6 linked regions of the Callithrix jacchus genome follow. The protein of the gene in region 6 interacts with the protein of the main gene of each other region in a biochemical or structural test. Links are inferred from orthologs where the notes say so. Each region holds a gene or a part of one and is shown on either strand. Other genes may lie near its edges. The genes, in order: UBE2R2, UBE2L6, ubiquitin-conjugating enzyme E2 C, UBE2Q2, UBE2J1 and UBA1.

Region 1 (4,225 bases), on a different chromosome or scaffold from region 6:
ATAGACTGGGCTCGGAAAATGTGGCACATGGAGTATTATGCAGCAATCAAAAACGATGAGTTCGTGTCCTTTGTAGGGACATGGATGAATCTGGAGAACATCATTCTCAGCAAACTGACACAAGAACAGAAAATGAAATACCACATATTCTCACTCATAGGCAGGTGATGAACAATGAGAACACATGGACACAGGGAGGGGAGCACTACACTCTGGGGTCTATTGGGGGGAATAGGGGAGGGACAGCGGCGGGGGGAGTTGGGGAGGGATAGCATGGGGAGAAATGCCAGATGTGGGTGAAGGGGAGGAAGACAGCAAATCACACTGCCACGTGTGTACCTATTCAACTATCTTGCATGTTCTGCACATGTACCCCAAAACCTAAAATGCAATAAAAAGCAGGGGGCAGACCGTCAACTGGGCACTGTGGCTCACGCCTGTAATCCCACCACTTTGGAAGGCTGAGGCAGGTGGATCGCTTGAGCTCAGGAGTTCAAGATCAGCCTGGGCAATGTGGCAAAATCAGATCTCGACAAAAAAATTAGTCCGGTGTGGCGACTCATGCTTGTAATCGCAGCTACTTGGGAGGCTGAGGTGGGAGGATTGTTTGAGCCCTGGAGCCAGAGGTTACAGTGAGCGAAGATCGCATTGCTGTATTCCAGCCTGGGTTAACAGTGGGAGACCCTATCTCAAAAAGAAAAATCAGTTGACGAGGGGACCAACATGGACTAAACTGAGGCAGTAGCAGTAGGGATGAGATGACAGATAAAAAAATATTTAAGCTGTGGTCAGGTGCAGTGGCTCATGAGGTCGGGAGTTCAAGACCAGCCTGGCCAAGATGGTAAAATCCCATCTCTACTAAAACTACAAAAATTAGCCAGGTGTGGTGGCAGGTGCCTGTAATGCCAGCTATTCAGGAGGCTGAGGCAGGAGAATTGCCTGAACCTGGGCAGCAGAGGTTACAGTGAGCAGAGATCATGCTACGGTGCTCTAGCTTGGGCGACAGAGTGAGACTCCTCCATCTCAAAAAAAAAAAAAAAAAAAAAGCTATAAAACAATAGGTCTTCGGAGTGAGATTTATTATTTTAAGCGATGTTTATTCAGAGAGGTAAAATGGGAGAAACTGGCTACAGAGGTAGAAAATGCATATGTAGTCTACCTCTGCATATGGAACATCAGGACAGAAGCTTCCAAAAGGCATTTGTTTATATAAGCCAAGAGCTGTCAGCATAAAATGAGTGGTGGCTAAAATATGGGAACATATGATTGATGTCCCAGGGAGAATGCTGAGTGGAGATTCAAGCTCAGAAACCTCAGGACCATCCATATGCAAAGCAAGGCAACAGAAGAAGAGCTTCAAGTACAACCAAAAGATATTGACATTAGGAAGATCAAGAAGAGTGCCTTGACTCAAATTTTTGTAATTGTTGAAGGAAACAACATATTGCTCTGTTCACTCATAGAATTGACTGCACACCTCTTCTGTGCCAGGCTTTGTGCTAGGCACTGGGGAAATAGAAGAGACTAAGACAGACATTGACGCTCACATTAGAATATGGGGAGACATAAGAATGAGCAAACAAAAAATACTAGATAGTGCTAAGTAGGATAATGTGAAAGTGTGACTAGATGGTTCTTTAAATTGGGTTGTCTGGCCAGGCCTTCTCTAAGGTGATTTGTAAGCCTTAACATCCGAGGCATTGCTTTCTGAGTGACAAGGAGGAGCCAGGCATGTGTGAAGCAGGGGCACAGCAAGTGGTGCAGACAGAAAAATCAACGAGGTGTGTCTGAGATACCAAAAAAGACCAGGGTGTTATACCTAACACTGTAAAAAATAAATACAAATTAAAAAAAAAAAAAAAAAAAGGCCAGGGTGAATGTGTTGAAGTTGGAGAAAGTGATGGGCTGGGAGAAAATACAAGAGTGGGTTGTGTGGCCGGGCTCAGTGGCTCAGCCTATAATCACAGCACTTTGAGAGGCCGAGGCAGGTGGATCAGGAGTTTTGAGACCAGCCTGGCCAACATGATGTAATTCCCATCTCTACCGAAAGTACAGAAATTAGCTGGGTGTGGTGGTGCATGCCTGTAGTTCCAGCTACTCAGAAGGCTGAGGCAGGAGAATTGTTTGAACCTGGGAGGTGGATGTTGCAGTGAGCCAAGATTGCGCCACTGCACTCCAGCATGGGTGACAGAGCAAGACTCTTGTCTCAAAGAAAGAATAAAAGAGTGGGTCATGCAAGACTTTGGAATCTGGCATAAGGTATTTGAATTTTACTATAAGTGAATAGAATTGTTGGGGGCACATAATGAGTTTTGGTGATGAGGCGACTCAGAAGTGGTTCTGGCTATAACTGATCCATTGCTTTAAACTTCCTTGACATAACACTGTATTTCCCCCCTAAAAGGTCAAAGTTTACATAGTACAGGGTATCTGTCAGATGCTTTCAGGCAGGTACTGAAGTTTGGAAATCTGAGTCATAAGTAATGATTATTTAAGGCCAGTTATAAATCTGTCTCTAAACAGTGACTTACCATAAACCATTTGTCACCCTCCCTCCAGGAAACAGGTTTCAGCCACTAAGGCTGAAGCAGAAAAGGATGGAGTGAAGGTCCCCACAACCCTGGCGGAATACTGCATCAAAACTAAAGTGCCTTCCAACGACAACAGCTCAGATTTGCTTTACGACGACTTGTATGATGACGACATTGATGATGAAGATGAGGAGGAGGAAGATGCCGACTGTTATGATGATGATGATTCTGGGAATGAGGAGTCGTGACGTGCTCCTTCAGTGCCCCTGTACTGCCCTGCCGTCTCAGGCCAAAGGGAGGGGAGCAAGTGGGGACCTGGCCATGGCCCCTCAGCAAAAACCTATTCACAGTGGGCGGGGAAACACACAGCTCCTGCTGACTCCCCTTATGGATCTCAGTTTCCTCCTTTTTATGGACCTTTAATGGAGAGAGAGTAACCCTCCACAGAATGTCTGAATTCTTGCATTCTTTACCCTTCCATCACTGTATTGATTCTTTTTTTAAAAAACATCAACCCAAACTCCCGCCTCACTCCGTCTCTACAGAATGTTCACAGCAAAACACGTTTGGTCTGTTTTTAGATTCTTGAAGAATTAAATAGTCTTTCAAGATGTTTAATGTGTTTAAAGCTGAAACCTGTTGGGAGTTCACAAGTGCTGCATATACTGGGTAGCAAAAGAAAATGGAAAAAAAAAAAACTCACAAAACAAACTTAAAAAAAAAAAAAGCAAATTTGCCAAGGTTTAGCTGCTCATTTACATTAGCCTGTGTGCATTCGTTCAGCCCCAAGGTGGTGAGTTTTGTTTCTTTCCCTTCCTAAGGCTGGGATATGGTGGGTGTCAGGGACTTTGTGCTAAGCCTGATGAAATATGCTCCTCCAATCTCCATGAAATCATCCTAAAACATGGAGGCCTCAGCTATTCTGAGGAGAGAAATCAGACTTTGTTTTTTGAAATCGATTGGGATGGAAAGCCTGAAATAAATATTCATACTTTACATAGAACTGAGCACTTGGTTGCTGTTTATTGCAGGGTTGTTACTCCCTCCCCCCCCGCCCCCCAGGGAGTGGGGCAAGTTGGGAAGTTGGGATGAGTGTGTGGGGGTGGACTTAGTGATGGGAACAAAGAGTTAAAAATCACTACGCTGTTTGGTTGATGCTACTGGTGGCCACCGTTGGGAGAGGAACCATCTGTTTTATATTTAGCATGGCCTTCCCATCAGAAATACACTCTTACCATGTCGTTTTGTTTCTTGTTTTTTCAGGAGCCACCTTTAATTACTCAGTATTAATCCTAGGTGCATGTGTTAAGATTTTGGTTTTTCATCGAGCTGCTTATACTGATTGGTAGTGAAAAACATGGATGTGTGTGAGACAAGTTGCCAGTTCTCGCTGTCTTCATTGGATGCGAGCTGGACTTTTTTTCTCCTTTCAACATACTTGGGCTGTGGAGCGCAAGCAGAATTTGTGCATAGAGCTCCCCTTGGGATTGTGTCTTGTGGCTGAGGGAGTTGACTGCAGGCAGTTTTTAGGCCAGGTAAGGCTATATATTCCTGTGATGCACTCGCTGCAGCTTTGATTTTCCAGATCTCTGTCGTGTTGCTTCAATTAGTATTGAGATCCAGCAGCCTTCACCATCGAGGGACTTCAGAACTTGAAGGTGATTTTTGGATGTTATGGGGGTGCACCAAATCAT
Region 2 (4,680 bases), on a different chromosome or scaffold from region 6:
GGCATGAGCCACCGTGCCCAGCCTCGATGTTGAAGCTAATAGTAAGGGTTCTCATTCCCTGAGAGTCTCCTGTGGACCAAGTGCTGTTTTATCCTCTCAACCATCCATTGAGGAAGGTTTTCTTTCTCTGAAAATTGCAGAGATGGAAACCAAGGAGGTTAAGTAACTGGTCTGTGTTTACTCAGAATAAAGTAGTAGGAGTGGAATTCAGCGGACTCCAGGGTCTTCTCTCTTAACCACTCCATGAAAAATGAATAGTTTTCAAAATTTTTTTTAAAAAGTAGCAGGTGGAGCACAGTGGCTTACGCCTGAAATCCCAGCACTTTGAGAGACTGAGGTGGGTGGATCACCGGAGGTCAGGAGTTTGAGACCAGCCTGGCCAAAACTCTTTTTCTTTAGTAGAGACAGCAACCCTGTCTCTACTAAAAATACAAAAATTAGCTGTGCGTGGTTGTGGGCTCCTGTAATCCCAGCTACTCAGGAACCTGAGGCACAAAAATTGCTTGAACCTGGGAGGCAGAGGTTGCAGTGAGCCGAGATTGCATCATTGCACTCAAGTCTGGGTGACAAGAGTGAAACTCTCTCTCAAAAAAAAAAAAAAAAGGAGCAAAATACCTTATTTAACCTAGTACTTAGAAGGTAGTAGGACTTTCTCAAGTGACAGTAAGACACAGTATGGAATCCTCTGGTCCAACTTCTCCATTTTACAAATGAGGCAACTGATCCTCAGAGAAAGCTCAGTCATACAGCAAGTCCGAGGCAGAGCTGGGACAGGTCCCCAGAGCTCTCAGCTCCAGGACTCTGCTACCTCCTTCCTCTGTTAAGACCTACAAAGCCCAGAAAGAAGCCCCTTCAGACAGGATACACCTACACCCTCTCTTAGTCTGTTTGTGTTGCTGTAAAGGAATACCTGAGGCTGCGTAATATACAGAGAAAAGAGGTTTATTTGGCTCAAGCTTCTGCAGGCTGTACAAGAAGCGTGGCACCAGTATCTGCTTCTGGTGAGGCCTCGGGCCTCAGGAAGCTTCCACTCATGGTGGAAGGCAAAGGGGAGCTGCGTATACAGATCACATGGCAAGAGAAGTGAGAGAGAGAGAGAGAGAGAGAGAGAGAGAGAGAGAGAGAGAGAGAGAGAAGAGAGAAGAGAGGGCAGGTGCCAGGACGTTGTAAACAACCAGCTCTCTCGGGAAGTATTAGAGTAAGAACTGTCTTATTACTGTGTGGATGGCACTGAGCCATTCATGAGAGACCTGCCCCCATGACCCATACACCTCCCACAAAGCCTCACCTCCAACACTCGGATCAGATTTCTTTTCTCTTCTTTTTTTCTTTTCTTTTCTTTTCTTTTCTTTTCTTTTCTTTTCTTTTCTTTTCTTTTCTTTTCTTTTCTTTGAGACAGAGTCTTGCTCTGGAGCGGAGAGCAAGACTCATTGCAACCTCTGCCTCCTGGTTTCAAGCAATTCTCCTGCCTCAGCCTTCTGGGTAGCTGGGACTACAGGTGCACACTACCATGCCTTGTTAATTTTTTGTATTTTAGTAGAGACAGGGTTTCATCATGTTGCCCAGGTTGATCTTGAACTCCTGAGCTCAGGTAATCCGCCTGTGTCGGCCTCCCAAAGTGCTAAGATTGCAGGCCTCAGCCACCGCACCGGCCTTGGGGAGCAAGTTTCATGAAATCTGAACATGAGGTTTGCAGAGGCAAACATCCAACCACAGCACCTTCCCATCCTCCTCTGAGGCTGCAGCCCTTGGCCTTCTCCGACTGACAAGTCCAGCACTGTCTTCTTATTTTCTTACTGAGACCATAAGAGCTGAGATATTTTCTTTATCTTCCTACGAGTTACTCCATCTCTTATCTCAACGTGCTCAAGATCACCGTGGTTTCTATTTTGCCCATTAAGGAGGAGGAGCTCTGAAAATCTTGACTCCGCTTAACCACATAGGCCATTCTTGCTGTCTTTTGCTCTGTCCTTTCAATAACAAAAGCTCTGAAAAGATTTGGTAATTTGGAATCAGCCTGAAGGCACCTGTGTTCTGCACTGGGGTCACCCAAGTTCTGGGGTTTCTCCCTCCTGGGGAGGTGGCTCACGCCTGTAATCCCAGCACTTTGTTTAGCTTATTTCCCTCAGTACAGTGTCTTCAAGCTTCATCCATGTTGTAGCATTCATCAGAATTTCATTCCTTTTAAAGCCAATAGTATTCCATTGTGTGTATATGGCACGTTTTGTTGGCTGAGCCATTGATGGACACTCGTTTGCTTTCACCTTTTGCCTATTGTGAAGAATGCTGCTGTAAACATCCGGATACAGATACCTGTTCACTTTCAGTTCTTTGAGTACATACCCAGAAGAATTGCTGCATTGTGTGGTAGTTCTGTGTATAATCTTTTGAGGAACAGCTATACTGTTTTTTTTTTTTGTTTGTTTGTTTTTTCGTTTGTTCTTGACTCGGAGTCTTGCTCTGTCACCAGGCTGGAGTGCAGTGGCACGATCTCAGCTCACTGCAACCTCCGCCACCTGGGTTCAAGCGATTCTCCCGCCTCAGCCTGCCGAGTAGCTGGGACTACAGGTGCGCACCACCACGCTGGGCTAATTTTTGTATTTTTAGTAGGGACAGAGTTTCACCATGTTGGCCAGGATGATCTGGATCTCTTGACCTCGTGATCTGCCTGCCTCGATCTCCCAAAGTGCTGGGATTACTGTGTGATCCACTGCACCTGGCCTGCTATACTGTCTTCCATCGCAGCTGCACCATTTTATTTTCCCAAGCTCTTGAGTTCTTAGGATTTTCTCATTTTCTCCATTTCCTCACCCCCATTCTACTGTCCTAAGAAAGGATGTTCTATCCTTTTCTTCCATAATCTCAGAAAGCCTTGAAAGCTGAGATGGTTGTTAGAGCTCACCTAGGCCATCTTTATCCACTTTTCAATTGAGGAAACTGAGGCCTAGGGGTGGGAAGTGGCTCACCTGTGGTCACACAGCAAAGGCCAGGATCGGACTTCTCTGCCCACTAGGCCAGTGCCCTTTGGTGATTCCACACTTTGAGTAATCCATAACTCAGTTGTCAAATGAATGCAGGTGCCGTGCATACCCTGGCTCATGATTCATCCTGGAAGTGAAGCAGACAATACCTAGGACCCTCGGATGGGGGCAGGAGGGGAGGAAAACCAAACCAGAGCTTGATCCTTTTTCTCTTTGCACAGGACCAACCTCCTTACCACCTCAAGGCCTTCAATGTGTGCATCAGCTTCCCCCAGGAGTATCCGTTTAAGCCTCCCACGATCAAATTCACAACCAAGATCTACCACCCCAATGTGGATGAGAATGGACAGGTTTGCCTGCCCATCATCAGCAACGAGAACTGGAAGCCTTGCACCAAGACTTGCCAAGGTGGGTCTGGGCTTTGCCTGGAGGAGGGACTGCTATTGGAGGAGGAGAGATTACTGGAGAGGGGGTTCACAGACTTACTCTGAGCTTGAAAAGCCCAAAAAAGAGGAGATAAAAACTGTGAGTCTTGGCTGAACTTACTGTGAGATAGAAGGGGTGCTTCCTGGACAGGCTGACTTCCTCCTGCCTCTGTTTCTATACCTGGGCAGTAGTGACAGAAGAACTTTGCCGTGGTTCATGGGAGAGGCAGCTTGGCTGCACCAGGAAGGGCTCGGGATAAGAAAGCCCCCTGTTCCCTCTGTAGACTTTGGGCAAGTTTTCGATCCTTTCTGGGACTCTGTGTCCTAAATGACAGTGGAGGGAACTGGCCTAATAATAATGATAAGACCTGTCACTCGACTGAGCACTGTGCGAAGAGCATCTCAGGCCGACTTCATTTGTATTTCCTCCACAACCCCATGAGGTAGTGTTGTCATGTTTAATAGACCTGGACATTGAAGCCTGTGAGAGGTGAAGTGGTTGCCTGAGCTCATACAGATGGCAAATGACAGCACTTGGCTGGCTCACTAGCCACATGTGGTGGTTGTAATGGAGGAACTCAATTCTTTTTTTGAGACAGAGAGTCCTGCTCTGTCGCCCAGGCTGGAGTGCAGTGGTATGATCTCGGCTCACTTCAAACTCCGTCTCCCAGGTTCAAGCGATTCTCCTGCCTCAGCCTCCTGAGTAGCTGGCATTACAGGCATGTGCCACCATGCCTGGCTAATTTTTGTATTTTTAGTAGATATGGGGTTTTGCCCTGTTGGCCAGGCTGGTCTCGAACTCCTGACCTCAGGTGATCCACTCACCTCAGCCTCCCAAAGTGCTGGGATTATAGGCGTGAGCCACCATACCCAGGCAGAACTCAATTTTTAATTGTAATTAATTTTAATTCTTTTTTTTTCTTTTGACCCAAAGTCTATCTCTTTTCCCCAGGCAGTTTAGTGGTGAGATCTTGGCTTACTGCAACCTCCACCTCCTGGGCTCAAGCCATCTTCCCGGCTCAGCCTCCCAAGTAACTGGGACTACAGGAGCATGCCACTGTGCCTGGCTAATTTTGTATTTTTGGTAAAGACCATGTTTTACCATGTGGCACAAGGTGGTCTTGAACTTGTGAGTTCAAGCCATCCATCCATCTTGGCCTCCCAAAGTGTTGGGATTCCAGGTGTGAGCCACTGCACCTGGCCTGATTTTAATTAATTTAAATTTAGATGCCCGCGTGTGGCTAGTGGCTGTCATATTGTACAATGCAGCTCTA
Region 3 (4,262 bases), on a different chromosome or scaffold from region 6:
GGGAGGCAGAGATTGTGGTGAGCCAAGATCGCGCCATCGCACTCCAGCCTGAGTAACAAGAGCAAAACTCCGTCTCAGAAAAAAAAAGTACAGTCAGGGGAATGGCCAAGTCAAGTGCAGTGGTTCACGCCTGTAATCCCAACCCTGAGGCCAAGGTGGGAGGATTGCTTAAGCCTGAGCAACAGAGTGAGACCCTATTTCCAACAAAATAATGTTAAAAATTAGCCACACATGGTGTTCAGCATGGGTATTCCCAGCTACGTGAGGGGCTGAGGTGGTAGGATGACTTGACCCCAGGAGGTCGAGGCTACAGGGAGCTATAATCCCATCACTATACTCCAGCCCTGGTGACAGAATGAGCCCGTCTCAAAAAAAAAAGTAAAATCAGCCCTCCATATCTGTGAGTTCCACAGCCATGGCTTCAACCTACCACAGATAAAAAATATCTGGGAAAAACAATGCATCTGTACTGAATATATACAGATTTGTTTTCCTCATCATTATTCCCTAAACAATAATGTAACAACTATTTACATAGCATTTACCTTATATTAGCTATTATAAGTAATCCAGAGATGATTTAAACAAGAGGATTTGCTTAGGTTATATGCAAATACTGCATCTTTTTTGGGAGGGGGATGGAGTCTGTGTCACACAGGTGGGAGTAAAGTTACAGTGGCACTATCTCAGCTCACTGCACTCACTGCAACCTCCACCTCCCATGTTCAAGCAATTCTTCCACCTCAGCCTCCCAAGTAGCTGGAACTACAGGCGTGTGCCACCACACCCAGCTAATTTTTTTGTATTTTTAGTAGAGACGGGGTTTCATCATGTTGGCCAGGATGATCTCAATCTCCTGACCTCATGATCCACCTGCCTTGGTCTCCCAAAGTGCTGAAATTACAGGTGTGAGCCACTGCACCCGGCCAATTTTTGTATTTTTTAGTAGAGACAGGATCTCACCATGTTGGCCAGGCTGGTCTCGAACTCCTGACCTCAAGTGATCCACCCACCTCAGCCTCCCAAAATGCTGAGATTACAGGCATAAGCCACCATGCCCTGGCCTATGCCATTTTATATAAAAGACTTGAGCACCCTTGGATTTGGTTGTCCCCAGGAGGTCCTGGAACCAATGCGCCACAATACCTAGGATGGCTGTACTGTCTCAGTTATCTCTTCTTGCTAAAAAGGCACCCAGAATGTAATGGCTTAAAGCGGGAATTTGGGCAGAGCTCAAAGAGGATGGTGTGGCTCTTCCCCCACTTCATATCAGCTGCTCTCCACTGGGGCTGGGCCAAACTGGAAGTTCCAAAATGGCCTCACTCACATTGTAGTATCCCACTGGTCTGGAGTTGAGTCCAAGGTTCTGGTTCCCTTGAATCCTCTCTTCACCATCATCTGTAGTTCAAGCCCTTATTGTTTCTCACCCAAACTATTGCACCAGCTTTTTGTCAGGTAGATCAACTTAGAACTTGAATGTATTTGCTTACCAACCTTAAGTAGTTCCTATTTTCCATAAGACAAAGCTCAAATCCCCTATAATCTATTTTGGCCTCGTGCCCTACATTCTGCCACTTCCTCTAGCCCTGCTATATATTCAGACTAAATCATACTTCAGCCGGACGCGGTGGCTCACGCCTATAATCCCAGCACTTTGGGAGTTCGAGGCGCGTGGATCATGAGGTCAAGAGATCGAGACCATCCTGGTCAACAAGGTGAAACCCCATCTCTACTAAAAATACAAAAATTAGCTGGGCATGGTGGTGCGCGCCTGTAGTCTCAGCTACTCGGGAGTCTGAGGCAGGAGAATTGCCTGAACCTGGGAGACAGAGGTTGCGGTGAGCCGAGATCATGCCATTGCACTCCAGCCTGGGTAACAAGAGCGAAACTCCGCCTCGAGAAAAAAAAATCGTACTTCTTGTTTCTCAGCCTCACCACATATTTTCTTTTTCTTTTTTTTTTTTTGAGATGGAGTTTCGCTCCTGTTACCCAGGCTGGAGTGCAATGGCACGATCTCGGCTCACCACAACCTCTGCCTCCCGGGTTCAGGCAATTCTCCTGCCTCAGCCTCCCGAGTAGCTGGGATTACAGGCACACGCCACCATGTCCAGCTAATTTTTTGTATTTTTAGTAGAGACGGGGTTTCACCATGTTGATCAGGATGGTCTCGATCTCTTGATGTCGTGATCCACCCGCCTCAGCCTCCCAAAGTGCTGGGAGTATAGGCTTGAGCCACCGCGCCTGGCCCTCCCTGATTTTTAAAAATAAAGTTGGCCAGGCAGTTGCAGTCGTGTTCTCCGAGTTCCTGTCTCTCTGCCAGCGCCGCCCGGATGGCCTCCCAAAACCGCGACCCAGCCGCCACTAGCGTCGCTGCCGCCCGTAAAGGAGCCCAGCCGAGCGGGGGCGCCGCCCGGGGCCCCGTGGGCAAAAGGCTACAGCAGGAGCTGATGACCCTAATGATGTCTGGCGATAAAGGGATTTCTGCCTTCCCTGAATCAGACAACCTTTTCAAATGGGTAGGGACCATCCATGGAGCAGCTGGAACAGTATATGAAGACCTGAGGTGTAAGCTCTCGCTAGAGTTCCCCAGTGGCTACCCTTACAATGAGCCCACGGTGAAGTTCCTCACACCCTGCTACCACCCCAATGTGGACACCCAGGGTAACATATGCCTCGACATCCTGAAGGACAAGTTGTCTGCCCTGTATGATGTCAGGACCATTCTGCTCTCCATCCAGAGCCTGCTAGGAGAACCCAACATCCATAGTCCCTTGAACACACATGCTGCTGAGCTCTGGAAAAACCCCACAGCTTTTAAGAAGTACCTGCAAGAAACCTACTCAAAGCAGGTCACCAGGCAGGAGCCTTGACCCAGGCTGCTCAGCCTGTCCTTGTGTCATCTTTTTCATTTTTCCTTAGGTCTTCTGTCCTTTTTGTGATTTCTGTATAGGACTCTGTATCTTGAGCTGTGGTGTTATTTTTGTTTTGTTTTGTCTTTTAAATTAAGCCTCGGTTGAGCCCTTGTGATGTATATTAAATAAATGCATTTTGGTCGTTTTTTTAGACAAAAAATAAATAAATAAAGTTGGCCGGGGGAAAAAAAAAACAAAAAGAAATAGCTCAGAAAATCTTAGAGATAATACAATGAAATAAACTTATTGAATGTTATCTGTTTTTAAAATGTCAGCATTGCTTTGTAAATACATTGCTTGACATTGCAGCATTTTCAAAAGATTATACTTTTGCAATCTTAAAATGTTTTTAATTTTCTTTCTGAGTTTTTCCACAGTTTATTAGGGAAAGAAGCATAAAAGGAAAACAACAGAAATGTTTTGTTGTTAGGGTGACCTAACAGTAAGTTTAAATACAGGAAATTGGGCACTGTGTTGAATGTCTCCATTATTAGCACATAAGCGATCTTAAATAAATGTCTAGTGCATTAGACACTCTTTAACACAAGGTTATCAGGACTCTGCTTCCAAGGGCAGGCTGGCAACATATTTCAGGAAAGATGTGATGATTCTAACGTAGTCTTTGAGCTATGCGAGCAATACAGCAGTGAAGACTCACGAACATTTTTCCCTTCCTGTCTCCCCCCAAGCCCCAGAAATGTTAGGGAACAAGAAGGAAAGAAAAGCCTGTACTGCATATTTTCCAGGCACCAAATAGCATCAAAGGGCAGTATGATACTACAAACTTTGGCTAATAAAATAAACTGACACAATTAAATGACCATTGAAAATAAACATTGTGGTTTCAAAGATTTATTGATGATTTAGGGTGAAGTTTTCATATTATGCACTGTCTTAATGTGGGACTATTCCCTTTCTTTTTGCTTATTTAATAAATATCTGTTAAGCACCTGTATCCACTAGGCACTGTTTTAGGTGCTGGTGCTTCAGTGGTAGATAGAGCCCCTGCACTCATAGTTCACACTTTGTGGGTTGGGATGCAGACAGCAAATCAGTAAACAGACACACATACACAACACAATTTCAAGTGCCAGGTGTTTAAAGCATTCCACCTGGCTTTTCTGAGAGATAGGGGCAAATAACTTTCTGCTGCCTTAGATCTGTGCTGACTAGGACACAGATCTACACAGATCTTACAAACTACGATTTGTAAGAAACTATGGTTACTCAGATATATACAGGAGTATTTACATCATTATTACACATATACAATCAATAAGGGCCCTGGGCATTTGATTTTTATTTTATTTAAATGATAAAATGGGTCTAGTAATATTCGTTGTCATAGTT
Region 4 (5,756 bases), on a different chromosome or scaffold from region 6:
GGGGAAGCTAATACTTACTTAGAAGGGGGCCTGTGTAAGTGTGAGGGGCCCTGAAACTTATTTCACAGTGAGTCCACCTCTGTCTGTGCTATAATAAAAACCAAACCAAACACAAAAACCTCCCTTTGCTTTGCTATTGCAAACCATTGTTCCATCTCTTTCTCAACACCCTGAACTATTCAAGGAAGTGGGCTAGGTACATTCTCTTCACTTTAACATCACTTTGACCTCATGCCCACTATTCTATTGTAATGGTTTTCTCTGACGCACCACTGACCTCCTAATCCCTAAAGCCTATGGCACTTTCTTAGTCCTGAACTTACTTGTCCCTTCCTCAAAGAATTCAACACATGGGTCATCGCTGACTTCTTCAAATGACTCCTTTCCCACTCAGGCACCCATGGTGAGCCTTCCTCAGGGTCCCGTCAACATCCCAGGTTGTCTTCCCTCCCTTGTGACTCAATGATCACACCTATACCATGGCTTCCACCATCACCCACCACCTGTGTGGCTGACCCAGTGTTATGTCCTTTGCTCTGACTACCCTCATCAACTTCACACTTAAGATACAAACTCTCCAAGTTCCATCAGCCTACCAAATTCAACCTATTTTTCTTGATGTGTCAATGACATCACTCCCTCCTAGCCACCTGCTCTAGAAATTTCAAAGTGTTACTTTAAACAAGTTTCCTCTCTGTCCTTCTATCCTCTCGTGATCTCTAAGATGTAGCAGTTCTGCCCCACACTGATTCCCAGTGCGGTCCTTTCTATTGCCATTTTCCCTACTTCAATTTTACTCACTATTGACTTGGACTGATCCAAGCTGGGATAGAAGATGGTAGAAGTTGGGGCGTGGCCAGGACACGGTAGGGTGGTTTGAATGATAGGAGACCCAATTTGTAGGCTGTGGGGAGCTACTAAGTTACTCAGGTAAATTGGGAAAATGTATGTCTTCTTGCAGACTAAACAAAAACTTTCCGTAGACTTAATGTGTCCCTGTGTTGTTCCGTATTTTGTCATGTAAGGGGAACAGTACCTCGGGGACTTCTTGTAGATTAGGAAAAAGAGACATTTAGGTGCCAGGGTTAGGTAACTCTAGGTAAGACTGGTTTAAAAGGAAACTGCGGGGCCCCTTTTTGAAAAATTACGAATTTCAAAATGGTGACACGAGAGTACTAAACCAAACTCGGAACCCTTCTAAGCTGGGAGCACTGTGCAACTACACAGGTTGGATGCACATGCAGCTCATCCTGCCCCTCGCATTTATTACACACAGTGTTGTCTGCCAAATTGGGATCTATTCCTTTGGACTGCCATGCAGTCCTTTATTCATTTTTTGAGCACCTAGAATGTGCCAGGAATTGTGCTAGTGGTGGGGATTCCAGATAAGAGCGAGCATTCGATTCAATCATATCGGGTTTCTACCATATAACAGGTCTGGTTCTAGGCCCTGGGGATACAGCTCTTAACACATTAACATTGGGCAAATCAACGGCGAACAGATCAGGTGGTGACAGGTGCTCAACAAACTTAGCACAGGATGATGTGACACAGGGTGACTATTTGAAACTGGGTGGTTAGGGAGGCCCGGAGATGACATTTGAGCCAAGAGTTTAATGAAAACAGCGGGCAGCCCTGGCTCCATAGGGATGGGAGCAGAGAGGGTTATCTTAAGCTCGGGAAATAGGACAAAATAAGGAAAGTGGAAACAATATATACGGCAGAGTGAACACAGGTGGTAGTTAAGGGAAAGGATAAAATCTTGGGAGGTAAGAGGAAACAGCCTGCGGGTGCCAAACCATCGTCTGGGTAAATGGACGGTTTGAGAGCAAAGACGGGAGGAGTGAGTCCCGCGAGAAGGTCCTCACAGGACCCAGGCTAGCGAAGCGGTGGCTTACACCAGGGTGAGAGGGGCGGAGGTGACGCTGGGTGGGCCGCACCCGCGTCTCCCACGAGGTCCCGCTGGTGTGGTTAGCGGGTGCCGCGCCGAGGGCCAAGCGGAGGCGCTGCCCCCAGGGGCTGGCTCGGGTCTGCAGCTGCGCCGACGTGGCCGGCGCGATTCGCCGCGCACGTGTCCGGTCCCAAGCCAGGCGCGGGGACGCGCGGGGTCTCCGGCTCCTCCCCGAGTTCTGGGGCCCGAGCGCCAGCTGGCTCAGAGCTAACAGTCCGCGGGTGCGAGGAACGAAGCAGATGGGTCGGGCAGAAGGGAGCTGGGTCAAGGCGAGGAGGGGGCGGCTGGAAGTGCCCGCGCGCGCCCCGGCCTCGTGCACGCGCCGAAACTGGTGCGCGCAAGGCGCGCCGGGGTGAGGAGAACGGGGGCGGGGTGGGGGCAGCCCTTTCTCAGGCGGTGGTGGGGGCGGCGACGCTGTTGCCCTTTTAAGCCGCCGGGCCACCTCCTCCTGCCGCTGGAGTGGGTTACAAAGGGAACAGCACTCCAGGCAGCCTCACAGCTACCCGCCGAGGTTTCCGCGCCCCTCGCCATTTTCCAGTCGCTCTCGACGAGGCGGAGCCGCCAGAGCGCGGCCCAGGCCGGCCCCGCGGGGCGGTCGCGGCCGTGACTGCGGCTCCGGGCCCGGCTCCCCTTCCGCGCCCCTCCCGCTGGAGATGAAGGGAAGATGTCCGTGTCAGGGCTCAAGGCCGAGCTGAAGTTCCTGGCGTCCATCTTCCACAAGAACCATGAGCGATTCCGCATTGTCAGCTGGAAGCTGGACGAGCTGCACTGCCAGTTCCTGGTGCCGCAGCCGGGCTGCCCGCACTCGCCGCCGCCGCCGCTCACGCTCCACTGCAACATCACGGTGAGGCACCCGACCGCGGCCCCGGGGGGTAGGGCCAGGGCGGAGAGGGGGCGCCCCGAGTCCTGGGACAAAGGGGGGTCTGCCCTGAGAGGCCCCGGCTCCACGGGCGGGGCAGGTCCGCCCCTCTCCCTCGCGACTGGCCCAGCCCAGGTCCGGCTGGGGCCGTGCGAGGCTTGGGTGGGAGGGGGCGGGGGGCGCGTCTCTGTCCGGTTTCTCGCTCGGCGTCCGCTTAGGGGCTGCTGGCCCCTCTCGGCCCCCGTCGCCGCTCCGCGAAGTGCGAGCCCGCGGCGGCCCGAGCTCTCACGGGGCCCATGGCCGCCCTTAGCCGGCCTGCTCCCGGGACCGCGGCGGGGCGGGGAGGCTCTGGCTGTTGTTTGAGCCCAGGCGGGCGAGGGGAACGGTCCTTAAGTTTTAACGCCTCATTCTTCAGTCAGGTTTTCCTCGTTCCCGCTTGTGTAGCCAGTTCTTTTTAAGTTTGCGTTTAAGGAGAAACTGACAATGAAAACGGACTCGTTGACCGAGGAAAAGTTGGAATGCGGCCCCTGGTGCTGTTGGAGCGACCGCTCTCCCCGGGCCTGGCTGCGCGCTGCCGTGTTGTGAAAAGGCGCATAGTACCCGTCGATGCGGCAGGTGGTGTTGAGTGTGTGTTCGTGTGGCTCCTCCCGTGTGTGTAAGCCTCGAAAATGGATGGGTGAAAGGAGATTCGCGCCAGGGCTGCTCCCAGGAAAGATCACTTGTGTCACAAAGCCGAAAAGACACTTTGAAAAGCTCACTCTTTGGTTTAAGCGGAAAGCTCGTTAGAAACCCAAGGCTTGGTAGAATAGTTGAAGTATTAAGTAAGTTTCTCCATAAAAGTGTGTCATGATGCTATTCGTTGTGAAATTGATTTAGGATATTGGTCCCAACTGCTGAATATTCTCTTGGTTGTAAAAGGCGTCAAGGTGGTGGTTTCGGTCTCCTCTTCAAATACGGCTAAACCGAAGTCTCTTGTCTTTAACTCCCTTTGGTTGAGTCGGTGGGCACCAAGTGCCTGCAGTGTGGCTGGTGTTTGCAAAAACCTTGACCTTATAATTGGCCTTAAAATGTTTACCAGACTATCTGGGGAGAAGATGTGTTCATTTCAGAAGACAGTGCAGTTCAGTGATGTATTGAGGAGAGAAATCATTTATTGAATGAATACGTCTGAGTGTTCTGGGCACTAGTGTTGCAAAATTGAGCAGAGCAGTCCTCGCTTTCAAAACTCAGACTTCTTGGGGGAAGAGTTTTCAACAAAGTGGCAGCTCCTGTGGTATCTCGTGAAAGGCAGAGTGAGCAGCCGGTTTTGATTTGGGGGAGGGGGGTGTGCTTCAGAGAAGGCTTTCAGGAGAGGCTGAGACAGTTGGAGCTGAGCTTCCATAGGTGAATACAATTTTGGAAGGCTGGAGGAAGGGCTTTTGAGACTGAGGAAACTCCACCCAGAAAAGACATGGAAACTTGAGAAAGTGTGGTTTGCTTAGAAGTAGAAATTTATGCTCAGACTTGAGAAGCCCAAGATGTAAGAGGGCGAAGGGGAAGATTTTTCCGAGAGTGGAAACCGAAGCGTAGGAGTGGGCATAAAGCACGTGTTATAAGGAGACTGGCCTGAATGGCTTGGAGGGTGATTATTCTCATAGAAGTTGGGGCATGGCCAGGAAAAGGTTGGGCTGGTTTGACTGATAGGAGACTGAATTTTGTAGGCTGTGGGGAGCTACTAAGTTACTCAAGTGAATTGGGAGAATGTATCTGCCATCCAGGACTAGAAGTGTTTCTCTGCAGTGGGTGGCATTAGGAAGTGTGGTTATCCCACTGAGGGTAGGGTGGTCTTGTTGCTGTGCTGGCATTTAATGCCAGGGGTGCAGAGATGCCAGATGTTTTGTTACCTTCAGGCGGTATGCCATAACAAAGAATTATCTCACCTAAAGTGCTCCTGGTGCTCCATCAAGAACCGTACTGGACACTGCCAAGAGTCTGCTACAGACAAAGATAACGAGTGATCCCTGGATTAGGCAGTGGCAACAGAAGTGGAGCAAGAAGTGAAAGAGACACTTTGAGTACAAGGAGGATTTGGTGAGGACTAGCGTAATGGCACCGCTAAGTAGAAACTATTAAGATTGAGGTGCTAGTGAAATTTGACAGACTATCAGAAGATAATTATGGCAGCTGCTCAGTACAAATGTCTGCTAACTTTTTATTTTGGAAAAACATCAAACGTACAAAAGTTGAACAGTGTAATGTAGCCAGCATCAACAATGATAAACTTTTGGGTAATCTTATTTCTTCTGTGCTCCGCTTTGGATTATTTTGAAGCAGATTCCAGACAGATCACTTCATCTGTAAATATTTCTGTTTGTATCCTTTGAAAGTAAAGACTCTCTTATGTTTTATTGCTAGTTTTTGAGACGGAGCCTCACTCTGTTGCCCCAGCTGGAGTGCAGTAGTGCGAACTGGACCCACTGCAACCTCCACCTCCCGGGTTCAAGCAGTTCTGCTGCCTCAGCCTCCCGAGTAGCTGGGATTACTGGTGTCCACGTCTGGCTAATTTTTGCATTTTTATTGGAGACAGGGTTTCATCATGTTGGCCAGGTTGGTCTTGAACTCCTGACCTCAAGTGATCCACCCACCTCGGCCTCCCAAAGTGCTGGGATTATGGGAGTGAGCCACCGTGCCTGGATGTAAAGACTCTTCTAAACATGGATGAGTGTTTTGATAAAATCAACATGGCTTCTGCATGTCCATACCATTTGTTTAGAAGGGAAAGATCAAGGGGAAAATGGGGTTGGATTTCAAATTATTTGGTTTGATTTATGATTTGTTGTTCTCTGAAGTTGTAGCTCTTAAAAAAAAAAAAAAAAAAAGGGCCAGGCGTGGTGGTTCATTCCTATAATCCCAGCACTTTGGGGGGCTGAGGTGGGCGGATCACGAGGTCAGAAGATTGAGACCATC
Region 5 (5,007 bases), on a different chromosome or scaffold from region 6:
CCTCAGTCACGCTAGCCACATTTCAAGTGCTTCATAGACACGTGGTTAATGGGTACCATATTAGAAAGTGTAGACATAAACATTACTATCATCACAAAGTTCTGTTGGACAGTGCAACCTCGTATATAGTAAGTGTCCAATAAATAATTGTTGAATAGAAGAATGAATGCTGTGGGTGTTGTTAGTGTACCCTGACCTATTGTCTAAGAAATTGGTTGGCCTAGGTGATCAGAGAGACTGATTAAAAAAATATGACTGGATTGGTGCCAAAGAATTAGGATAATGAGGGAAAAATGATTTTCCTTCCTATATATAAAAGATGAACCGTCTTTTGAGGTCTTTTCTAACAGATTGTTCGGTTAAGTAATCACATCCTTTTTGTTGTTGTTTCTTCAGTTTATTGAGGACTTTAAAGGGTGAAGGGAAATTGAAATAGAAGTTGGACAGATGCATATTTGCCTTTTACCCAGCAATAACTTGTATAAAGTGGGACTGAATAGTTTTGAGTAAGTCTCTACTATTCAGAGAGTGAGCTGGGCAGGGAAAAGTTTGTTGAAGAACAAGGGAGAGGGTGGTACTATAGGGGACTGAAGATGGAGGTCCAAGAAAAAAGCATGTGGGGATCAGTTTAATCATTTTTATGTGATCCCAGTGTAATTTATGAATTGCAGAGGAAAATAATAAATTAATTTTAAAGTCAGTATGTTTTAGTTTAAAATACTAAAAAAGCTTTCTAATTACTTTCTATTTCATAGTTTTCTTAAGGAAGGTGATAATCTTTTTTTACCTTTTAGGACAGCCTCCTAATGTTTGTGATGTATTTAAATCCTTTGTGTATTTTAAATCTATGTTAAGTCCCCCTTGTTACATATTCCAGTTATACTTATTCCAGTTGTAATTTACTTTGTAATTATTTATTGTCTATCTCTCTTCCCAGAATGTAAGTCCCTTGAAGGTGAGGGGTCTCTTTCAACTTCTCCACTGTATCCCCAGTGCCTGGCTTAGTGCCTTCTATACAGTAGATTGTCAGTGTTTATTTGTTGATTGAATGAATGAATCTTAGGATTGACACTTTAAAAAATGCTAGGAATATAATTAAATAAATCAAGAAGTAAATTAGAGTATACAAACAATGATGTTATTATAGTAGTATTTCTCATTTTGATTTTAATCTACATAAAACTTAGAATTCTTATTCATAGATATAGGTCATTAATTGATACCATTTTTGGTTAAAATACCAACAAGCAATCAGTTGTCTACAATTGCAAGTTAAGCTTTTAATTATATTTACATATAAACTATCTCAGAGTATGATTATGTAATTTACCACTGTGAAAGTAACTGAAACCAGTTTGGCTAAGGGTGATTACTTTACATTAAATGTAATATAAATTCATTGATATGTTATACATCAAATCCCAGATAAGCTATGATTTTTTTTTTTGTTGTTGTTAGCCTTGAGGAGGAGCAAGAGATTGTTAAAACTCTAAATACAGCTGATAACATCAGGCCATCTGCTGATTTTTGTTGCAGTTATTTTAGCATCAAGAAGTAATGGGAAATGCAGAAGTGGGAAAAACACTAATGGCAGTTTTGTTCTTGGAATCTATCAGATTTTCCCCTTTTCCCAGGGATTGAGGTTCTGAAATAAGCCATTTCATTTTATATTAAAAAGCAAAACTCCCTCACACATGCTGGTTATTCTAGGTTATTATAGAAAAATTTGTATGTGTATATATATAAGTATATATATCACTAGGGACTTAACTAAGAATGTGATTTTTTTTTTTATGAGACAGAGTCTTGCTCTGTTGCTCAGGCTGGAGTGCTGCGTGTGATCATAGCTCACTGCAGACTCAAACTCCTCAGCTCAAGTGATCCTCCTTGCCTCAGCCTCTCAAGTAGCCAGGACCACAGATGGGCACAACCACACCTAAGTTTTTAAATTTTTTTGTAGAGATAGTGTCTTGCTCTGTTGGCCAGGCTGGTCTCAAACACCTGGGCTCAAGCAGTCCTCCTGCCTCAACCTCCCAAAGGGCTGTATGATTGTTTGAAATAGGAAACATTTTAGAATTTTATCAAGGTACTCAATTTTTAGTCAGTGTTATACCATCCACAAGGCATCTGAGGCTGGGCACAGTGTCTCATGCCTGTAATCCCAGCACTTTGGGAGGCCAAGGAGGAGGATTGCTTGATCCCAGGAGTCCAAGACCAGCCTGGGCAATGTGCAAGATCCCATCCCTAAAAATATAATGATTAAAAAAAATAGAGACAAAGGCATCTGAAACACAGGAACCTAATTAAAACATTATATGTATATAAATACTTTCAGTAAGTGTATGTGTTAAAATATCATCTAGGGTCAATGTTTTAAGGGATTGTTTTTCTAAATATATCAATAAAACTAATAAAAGGCCAGAAAGCTGTCCTGAGTTACAACTTTTTTTTTTAACCTAAATTTAGATGCCTCCGAAAGGATACATTATTAGTAACTATCATTACTGGTAGTGTTGCCTTTAGCCATATGTTGTACTCTGAGATTCTATGTATTCTTGAATAGATAACAAGCATTTATACAAATCTTCTTTGCCAGTTTCAAACAAAATTTCTTAAAATTTCCTAGAATGGAGTCCAGAATTCCTCAGCAGCATCCTTTCAACAACCTACCCAGCCTGTAGCTAAGAATACTTCCATGAGCCCTCGACAGCGCCGGGCCCAGCAGCAGAGTCAGAGAAGGTCATCTACTTCACCAGATGTAATCCAGGGCCACCAGCCAAGAGACAACCACACTGATCATGGTGGATCAGCTGTACTGATTGTCATCCTGACTTTGGCATTGGCCGCTCTTATATTCCGACGAATATATCTGGCCAATGAATACATATTTGACTTTGAGTTATAATATTGTTTTGTGACTTAAGAGCTGTGACTCAACTGCTTCATTAAACATTCTGCATTGGGTATAATGTAAGAATTGTTTACAAAAAGATTATTTTGTATTTACCCTTCATTCCTTTTTTGATCCTTATAAGTTTAGTATAAATATATCTAGACATTCAGACTATGTCTAGCAGTTATGTCCTGCTTAGTGTAAGGGACTGGAAGTCAAAGTTCCTTGTCTCACTATTTGATCTGCTTTTCAGGGAAATAACTTGTTATTTTTTCTCATGCATCGCCTTCTTTTTATGTAAATTTGTAATACTTTCCTGTATTGCCCTTTGAAATTTTTGGATAAAAGATGATGTTTTAAGTTCCAGTGAGTATTACTAGTTACTCAATACCATTTATTGAGTACTCTATTTCTACGTATTTAGAATGTATAGGGTTAAAACAGTTGAAAAGGGTAAGCAAAACTCAAGTAGTTTCCTTAAAAAAAGTCATTCGTAGGAGATTTACTGGGATTGCTCATTCTGTGACTTTGTGTCCTCAACATTCTTCAGTGAAAAAACTTTATTTCAGTCAAACATTTATGAGGAAATGAGATCACATCTTTGTCACTGGATGTTACTTGAAGAGGGAGTACTTTGTAACCACTTTGATATGCTGTTATCACCACCCCCTGACCCCTGTTGCCATACTCACACAAATTTAACAAGAAGTAAAACAGTCTTCCATAGATTTTTGTTTTAAGGAAGAAAGGGTCCAAGCTAGGAGATCGCTTTATTTTCTTCCCAGAAGTTAAATGGGGAGATCTTAAGATTTGAATGTTTGCTCTGCTTTGAAATGTATGTCTTTTGAGATGTATTATATGCCTAGCTTTATAATCACTATAAATTTTAATTCCAGGAATATGCATAATATTGAAATATTTCATGTACTATTTTAATAGAAAACCTCAGGGCCCAGGTAGCAGTGATAGAAGTTAGAAAAACATTTACTTAGAATTGTCTACCTAGTCAGAGCCCAAGAAAGAATTTTGAAAAATCAATATATAACTTAGTGCTAGCTAGCTCCACAGACTCTAATAGATAATATTCTCATTATAATGCCTGGTGAGACCATGTAATCACAGAAAAACCTTGCCTTCAGCATGTTCAGAATTGTCTACCTAGTCAGAGCCCAAGAAAGAATTTTGAAAAATCAATATATAACTTAGTGCTAGCTAGCTCCACAGACTCTAATAGATAATATTCTCATTATAATGCCTGGTGAGACCATGTAATCACAGAAAAACCTTGCCTTCAGCATGTTCAGTTCGCAGCACTGAAGGCACTCTTGAGGGTGTTGTTAATGAAGATTTAATTTTTAAATGTAGGTAGTCCCAAGCTTTCAAATAGGTTATGCTCCAAATGGGTGTTTGTAAGTTAATTTTTTTACAAGTCAAACAATGTTGGAAATTGTGTTTAGGTTCTAGATCAGTCCACAAAAGTTAGCTCATATGTGTATATCTTGGATAGGGGAGGGTATTCATAAAGTCCTTATGTTGTTTTAACCAACTGAAATTATGGATAAGAGAAACAATTTGTAAAATCATTTTAAAGGCAGATTTAATTTTTATTCCTGTTTATGGAACATTGGTTCTATTAAAACTGTCAGACACAATTTCTGTTTTCATCTGAGAGCCAGTTTTCTTTTATTTCTACATCTAAAATAAGAACATATTGTACACTATTATATAATACAGAATTGTCTTAAACTTTAATAAATTAGCATTTTAAAGGTGTTTATAGATTGTTTTTTATATCTGTACTGAAATTGATAAAGTCTAAAAAGCTCAAGGACTTTATGAAGAACTCATGTGGGGAAAATCATAGGTTACCATTTATGACTTTATTGCCATGATAAAATACATTCTAAAATCTTGATGTGAAACATACTAGAGATATTGGTTCAGTGCTCAGTGGTTTCCTAGCAAGAAGTCACTGACCCAGCTGGGAAAACCAGGTAGTATCATATGAGAAGAAAGGAATCCCCACCACTTTAACCTCTGCTGAGATTAATTGTGTGCTAGGAACAGTCTTCCTTCCATTTCCCCTCAGTCAAACCTGAGCCAGCCTCTGGATC
Region 6 (5,007 bases):
GAATGTCAGGTTTTGTGCTGGGGGACTAGAGGATGCAGGCAGCAGCATTTAGCTCCTGGCCCTCCCTGCCTTTTCAAATGGTACAGCATAGTGGTTGTGGGCACAGACTCTGGAGCTAGACTGACTTACGGTGGGTCTCCAGCTCTGCTAGTGTGACTTCAAGCACGTTGCTTCATCTCCTGTACCTTAGTTTTCCTGTTTGTGGTCAGTGTGTAGTAGTAGCACTGGCTTCATGGACTATTTGTAAGGGTTAAGCACGTGGAATTGTAGCTGGAACATGATAAGGACTGGATGGGTGTTTGTTAATTAAAAAGTCCAGGCCAGAAAGAGGTACTCTGAGAGCTGAGAGTCGGCCCTCAGGGATCCCAGGTTGCCAGGGCACTGCAGCTAAATCCTGATGGAGGAGTAGGAGCTCACCCGGGTGGGTAAGGATGGACATTCAGGCAGAGAGCAAAATCCCAAAGATCATGGCGGAGCAGGCGTTGTCTTGAGAATTGGAAGCAGGTGGGTGTGGTAGGAGTGAGCTCAGACTTTGGCTGGAGACAGAGTTTTACTCCAGTGTCTCACAGGGCATGGCAGGCTCCTGTAGGCAGACAGCAGTGGGTGTTTGTCAGATAATGAGTCACCTCTTCCAAAAGCCATCCTCCCAGCTACCTCTTCACCTTTTCTGGTATAGTCCAGAGATTCATTTTTGACCCCCACAGTGTCTGATGCACAGTAGGTGCTGTGTTTTTGTGAAAGAGACTGACTCAGCAAAGCCTGGATATGTCTGCCATGAGGACTGCCTGAGTCCTCCACACCAGCCCTCCACCATTTTCTCCCCTTCACCCCAATGCTGGGCCTGAGCCTCCATCTCTCCACAGGTGGTGGTCCTCACCAACACCCCCCTGGAGGACCAGCTGCGAGTGGGTGAGTTCTGTCACAGCCGTGGCATCAAGCTGGTGGTGGCAGACACGCGGGGCCTATTTGGGTGAGTGCTGGCCTGCACCCCTCTCTGTTGCCTTTTCCCCTAACTCCTACCAGGCTCAGGCCAAGACCCCCAGGCTCTCCCTGCCCTCATCCCTTCACAGGTACCCAGGTTTTGGGTTCTGTGTGTTCATCTCTACCCATGTGGCCCAAGTACCGTCTTACATCCCAGCAGCGATAGGCTGAGTTTGCTCAGCAAGTTTTCACTACTATTTTGAGGGACCTGTGGGGCCTGTATGTGTGTGGGAGTCGGGTACCAGCCTATTGCCTCCCTCTACAGGCAGCTCTTCTGTGACTTTGGGGAGGAAATGATCCTCACAGATTCCAATGGGGAGCAGCCACTCAGTGCTATGGTTTCTATGGTTACCAAGGTAAGGAGATCAGCCCTGTGGTTCCTGGCAGACAGGTGGGCTGTGGTAGTCCTTCCTGTCTGCTCTTGGTACCCTGGGCCTGTTTCTGAGACTCACTTTTCCTTTAACCAGGACAACCCCGGTGTAGTTACCTGCCTGGATGAGGCCCGACATGGGTTTGAGAGTGGAGACTTTGTCTCCTTTTCAGAAGTACAGGGCATGGTTGAACTCAACGGAAATCAGCCCATGGAGATCAAAGTCCTGGGTGAGCTGGGACCGTGAGGGAAGCAGAGGGGAGGTAGGAGATAGGTTCCTAGGTTCTGGCCAGGGAGTTGAAGGGAGAAAATACGGCCCTGGGTTTGGAGTAAGGGGAGACACATCCTGGTGTTTGAGATGAACTACAGACAATCCCGGGGGGGTCCAACAAGAGCTGGTGGGCGTGGGGGAGAGGCGCTGTGTTCGAACTATTCCTGGGAGTAATGTATGCCTGGTATCCGAGCTGAGCGGGGAAAGGTCTCTGGTGTTTGAACAGGGCAGATCAGAGAATCTACTTGAGTGTGAGCTGATTTGGATGAGGAGCAGAGAAGGTCTTCCCATGTAGACTTAGAGCCAGGGTCACAGGGTCTCACGGAGTCTGAGCTGGGTCTGGGGCACAGGAGAGAGAGTTTCTGAAGTCCAAGTGGAGCCTGGGGTGGGGGGAGAAGGCTCCTGTTGTCTGAGCTGAGTGGGGGGCGGGGGGTTCCTTATCTTGCAGGAGTTGTGGATTTTAGGGAGAATGGGTAGACTGACAGCTCTCTTCCTGCGGTCTGTAGGTCCCTACACCTTTAGCATCTGTGACACCTCCAACTTCTCCGATTATATCCGTGGAGGCATTGTCAGTCAGGTCAAAGTACCTAAGAAGATTAGCTTTGTGAGTGTGTCGATGGGAGCATTGGGCTGTGGTGGGTGGTTCTAGGCATTCCCGAGTTCTCCATTCCTTCTTCTGGTTCTTATGGACTCCCGCTTCCCCTGCCACAGAAATCCTTGGTGGCCTCACTGGCAGAACCCGACTTTGTGATGACGGATTTCGGCAAGTTTTCTCGCCCTGCCCAGCTGCACATTGGCTTCCAGGCCCTGCACCAGTTCTGTGCTCAGCATGGCCGGCCGCCTCGGCCACGCAATGAGGTGGGTGGGTGGGCAGGCAAGCCAGCAGTGCAGACATGCCTGGTACTGAAGGCCCACCATGCCTCTCTGCCTGTCCACACTCCCTCCCCTCACTGTGGCCTGACAGATCCTCTCTTGGTTCTTTCTGGCCCACCAGGAGGATGCAACAGAACTGGTGGCCCTAGCACAGGCTGTGAATGCTCGAGCACTGCCAGCGGTGCAACAAGGGAACCTGGACGAAGACCTTATCCGGAAGCTGGCATACGTCGCTGCTGGGGATCTGGCACCCATAAATGCCTTCATTGGGGGCCTGGCTGCCCAAGAAGTCATGAAGGTCAGCATGGGTGGGGAGAGGCAGGGTTGGGGTGGGCCAGGTGCCTCCCTGACTCCATCAGTTGCTCTCCATCTGTGTCAGAGCCCTGTTAACCACTGACCACCCCTTTTCTCCTTTCCCGTCTCCAGGCCTGCTCTGGGAAGTTTATGCCCATCATGCAGTGGCTGTACTTTGATGCCCTTGAGTGTCTCCCTGAGGACAGAGAGGCCCTCACAGAGGACAAGTGCCTTCCGGTATGTGGGTGGGACTTGTGTGGAGGGCATCATTGGGGGCATTTCTGGGGAGGCCTCTCTCTAACTCTGCTCCCTTCGCATTCCTTAGCACCAGAACCGTTATGACGGGCAGGTGGCAGTGTTTGGCTCAGACCTGCAAGAGAAGCTGGGCAAACAGAAGTACTTCCTGGTGAGTGGTACCTTGGATGCCTGCTCCCCTCACCTCGGCCTCTGGCCATCTCCCCTCAGGCTTCCTTCAGCATGCCATCCATGGTGCATTGCCTTTGCCATTCTTATCTTGAAGGAAAGCCCAGTGCACCCCTGTTTCCTCCTCTGGTGCCTCCTTCCTCACATGACTGTGTGTCATTTCTTAGAGTCCTGGGCCCTGAAGATGTGGTATTAGTCCCTCTCCTCATCTCAGGGGAGTAAGGGGTGATGGGCAGCTTCACACTAGCCTGCATCATCCTGACCAGCCTCTGTCTGTCTTTTTGGTTGCCTCTTAGGTGGGTGCAGGGGCCATTGGCTGCGAGCTGCTCAAGAACTTTGCCATGATTGGGCTGGGCTGTGGGGAGGGTGGAGAAATCGTCATTACAGACATGGACACCATTGAGAAGTCAAATCTGAACCGACAGTTTCTTTTCCGGCCCTGGGATGTCACGGTGAGTACGGTGGGTGTGGGGACTTTGTCATCTCACTTTTCTCCTTTTTTTTTTTCCCCTTTGGAGATGGAATTTCTCTCTTGTTGCCCAGGCTGGAGTGCAGTGGCATGGTCTCGGCTCACCTCAACCTCCATCTCCCGGGTTCAAGCAATTCTCCTGCCTCAGCCTTCCTAGTAGCTGGGATTACAGGCATGCACCACCAAGCCTGGCTAATTTTTGTATTTTTAGTAGAGACTGGGTTTTTCCATGTTGAGCAAGCTGGTCTCAAACTCCTCACCTTGTGATCCACCCGCCTTGGCCTCCTGAAGGGCTGGGATTATAGGCGTGAGCCACTGCACCCATCTCCCTCCTTTTTCTTGTTCCCTTTTTGTTTTTGTTTTTGCCTTGACCTCGTCTTCATACTGGTTGAGATGATATGTCCGGGGTCCTCAGAACCACTCTCAAGCTCAGTTCACCGAGAGAATTCAACAGGATTCAGCATATAGTTGTGCTCGTGGCTATGATTTATTATAGCAAAAGGATACAGAGCAAAATCAGCAAAGGGAAAAAGCTGGTGGGGTGAAGTCTGGGAGAGGTGGGAGCAGCTCTCTAGGAGTCTCCTCCCAGTGGTAGTTATACAAGGTGGCCTTTATTTCCCCAGTAGCAATAGTAACGACAGTAATAGCAACAAAGTATAACATGAAATATTGCCAACCAGGAAGGCTTGTTAGACTTAGCACCCGTGCTTTTACTTGAGGCTGGTTATGTAGGCACCCCCTGCCTGGTACATAGCAAAATGTCCAGACTCCTAAAAGGAAAAGTGTTCAGCATAAACTGTATTGTTTGCATGAACAGTTTAGGCACAGTGAACCACTGATAACAGGTAGGGAGTGGTGGGAACCTTCCTGAATTCCGGGTTCCCAGACTCCAGCTGAGGGCCAACCTTGGAAGCAGCATTTTCAAGAGTTGCAGTTTCAGTCTCCTAGGCTTACACTTCTTTGCATATATGGAAACTGAGTTGGTTATACAGGGATCTCTGAGAAGCCTGTGGGGAACAATGTCACTTTTGCTTACCCAGGATTTATTCTCCCTTTCATTTATTCATCAAATAGTTATTGAGGTGCTGTTTTAGGTATTGGATATACCAAGGAATAAAACAAGATTCTTGGAGGGGAGGGGAATGGACAGCAAACAATAGATACAATACGATCGTGAGGTATAGAGTTAATGTTGGTGATGAGTGCTCCTCAGAGGAAACAGCAAAAACCAGATAAGGGAAGTCAGGGAGTCAGGGAGGATGGTTTGTAGTATTGATGATGACAGTGGTTAAGGAAGGTCTGAGTTCTGCAAAGACCTCGAGGATA

What was found.
Region 1: of the proteins of UBA1 (region 6) and UBE2R2, one has a biochemical effect on the other in vitro, tested with the Homo sapiens proteins (5 studies listed by BioGRID, with this or other methods). The link is inferred for Callithrix jacchus from reciprocal best matches to the Homo sapiens genes UBA1 and UBE2R2.
Region 2: of the proteins of UBA1 (region 6) and UBE2L6, one has a biochemical effect on the other in vitro, tested with the Homo sapiens proteins (2 studies listed by BioGRID). The link is inferred for Callithrix jacchus from reciprocal best matches to the Homo sapiens genes UBA1 and UBE2L6.
Region 3: of the proteins of UBA1 (region 6) and ubiquitin-conjugating enzyme E2 C, one has a biochemical effect on the other in vitro, tested with the Homo sapiens proteins (5 studies listed by BioGRID, with this or other methods). The link is inferred for Callithrix jacchus from reciprocal best matches to the Homo sapiens genes UBA1 and UBE2C.
Region 4: of the proteins of UBA1 (region 6) and UBE2Q2, one has a biochemical effect on the other in vitro, tested with the Homo sapiens proteins (3 studies listed by BioGRID). The link is inferred for Callithrix jacchus from reciprocal best matches to the Homo sapiens genes UBA1 and UBE2Q2.
Region 5: the proteins of UBA1 (region 6) and UBE2J1 form a complex in vitro, tested with the Homo sapiens proteins (2 studies listed by BioGRID, with this or other methods). The link is inferred for Callithrix jacchus from reciprocal best matches to the Homo sapiens genes UBA1 and UBE2J1.

Annotation. Positions count from the first base shown.
Region 1 is NC_133502.1:140,789,034-140,793,258, forward strand, and holds part of UBE2R2 (ubiquitin-conjugating enzyme E2 R2), read left to right. Parts: intron 1-2,559; coding exon 2,560-2,779; 3' UTR 2,780-4,225. UniProt on the Homo sapiens protein: E2 ubiquitin-conjugating enzyme that accepts ubiquitin from an E1 ubiquitin-activating protein, and catalyzes its covalent attachment to other proteins by an E3 ubiquitin-protein ligase complex.
Region 2 is NC_133511.1:115,123,833-115,128,512, reverse strand, and holds part of UBE2L6 (ubiquitin/ISG15-conjugating enzyme E2 L6), read left to right. Parts: intron 1-3,202; coding exon 3,203-3,389; intron 3,390-4,680. UniProt on the Homo sapiens protein: Catalyzes the covalent attachment of ubiquitin or ISG15 to other proteins. Functions in the E6/E6-AP-induced ubiquitination of p53/TP53. Promotes ubiquitination and subsequent proteasomal degradation of FLT3.
Region 3 is NC_133507.1:94,914,375-94,918,636, reverse strand, and holds ubiquitin-conjugating enzyme E2 C, read left to right. Parts: upstream 1-2,277; 5' UTR 2,278-2,330; coding exon 2,331-2,870; 3' UTR 2,871-3,059; downstream 3,060-4,262. UniProt on the Homo sapiens protein: Accepts ubiquitin from the E1 complex and catalyzes its covalent attachment to other proteins. In vitro catalyzes 'Lys-11'- and 'Lys-48'-linked polyubiquitination.
Region 4 is NC_133509.1:25,156,866-25,162,621, reverse strand, and holds the start of UBE2Q2 (ubiquitin-conjugating enzyme E2 Q2), read left to right. Parts: upstream 1-2,312; 5' UTR 2,313-2,615; coding exon 2,616-2,795; intron 2,796-3,097; exon of another isoform or gene 3,098-3,416; coding exon of another isoform or gene 3,417-3,425; intron 3,426-5,756.
Region 5 is NC_133505.1:95,381,060-95,386,066, reverse strand, and holds the end of UBE2J1 (ubiquitin-conjugating enzyme E2 J1), read left to right. Parts: intron 1-2,626; coding exon 2,627-2,905; 3' UTR 2,906-4,666; downstream 4,667-5,007. UniProt on the Homo sapiens protein: Catalyzes the covalent attachment of ubiquitin to other proteins. Functions in the selective degradation of misfolded membrane proteins from the endoplasmic reticulum (ERAD) and is essential for cells to recover from ER stress.
Region 6 is NC_133524.1:48,161,222-48,166,228, forward strand, and holds part of UBA1 (ubiquitin-like modifier-activating enzyme 1), read left to right. Parts: intron 1-863; coding exon 864-970; intron 971-1,246; coding exon 1,247-1,337; intron 1,338-1,448; coding exon 1,449-1,581; intron 1,582-2,128; coding exon 2,129-2,226; intron 2,227-2,333; coding exon 2,334-2,480; intron 2,481-2,616; coding exon 2,617-2,793; intron 2,794-2,921; coding exon 2,922-3,026; intron 3,027-3,114; coding exon 3,115-3,195; intron 3,196-3,508; coding exon 3,509-3,664; intron 3,665-5,007. UniProt on the Homo sapiens protein: Catalyzes the first step in ubiquitin conjugation to mark cellular proteins for degradation through the ubiquitin-proteasome system.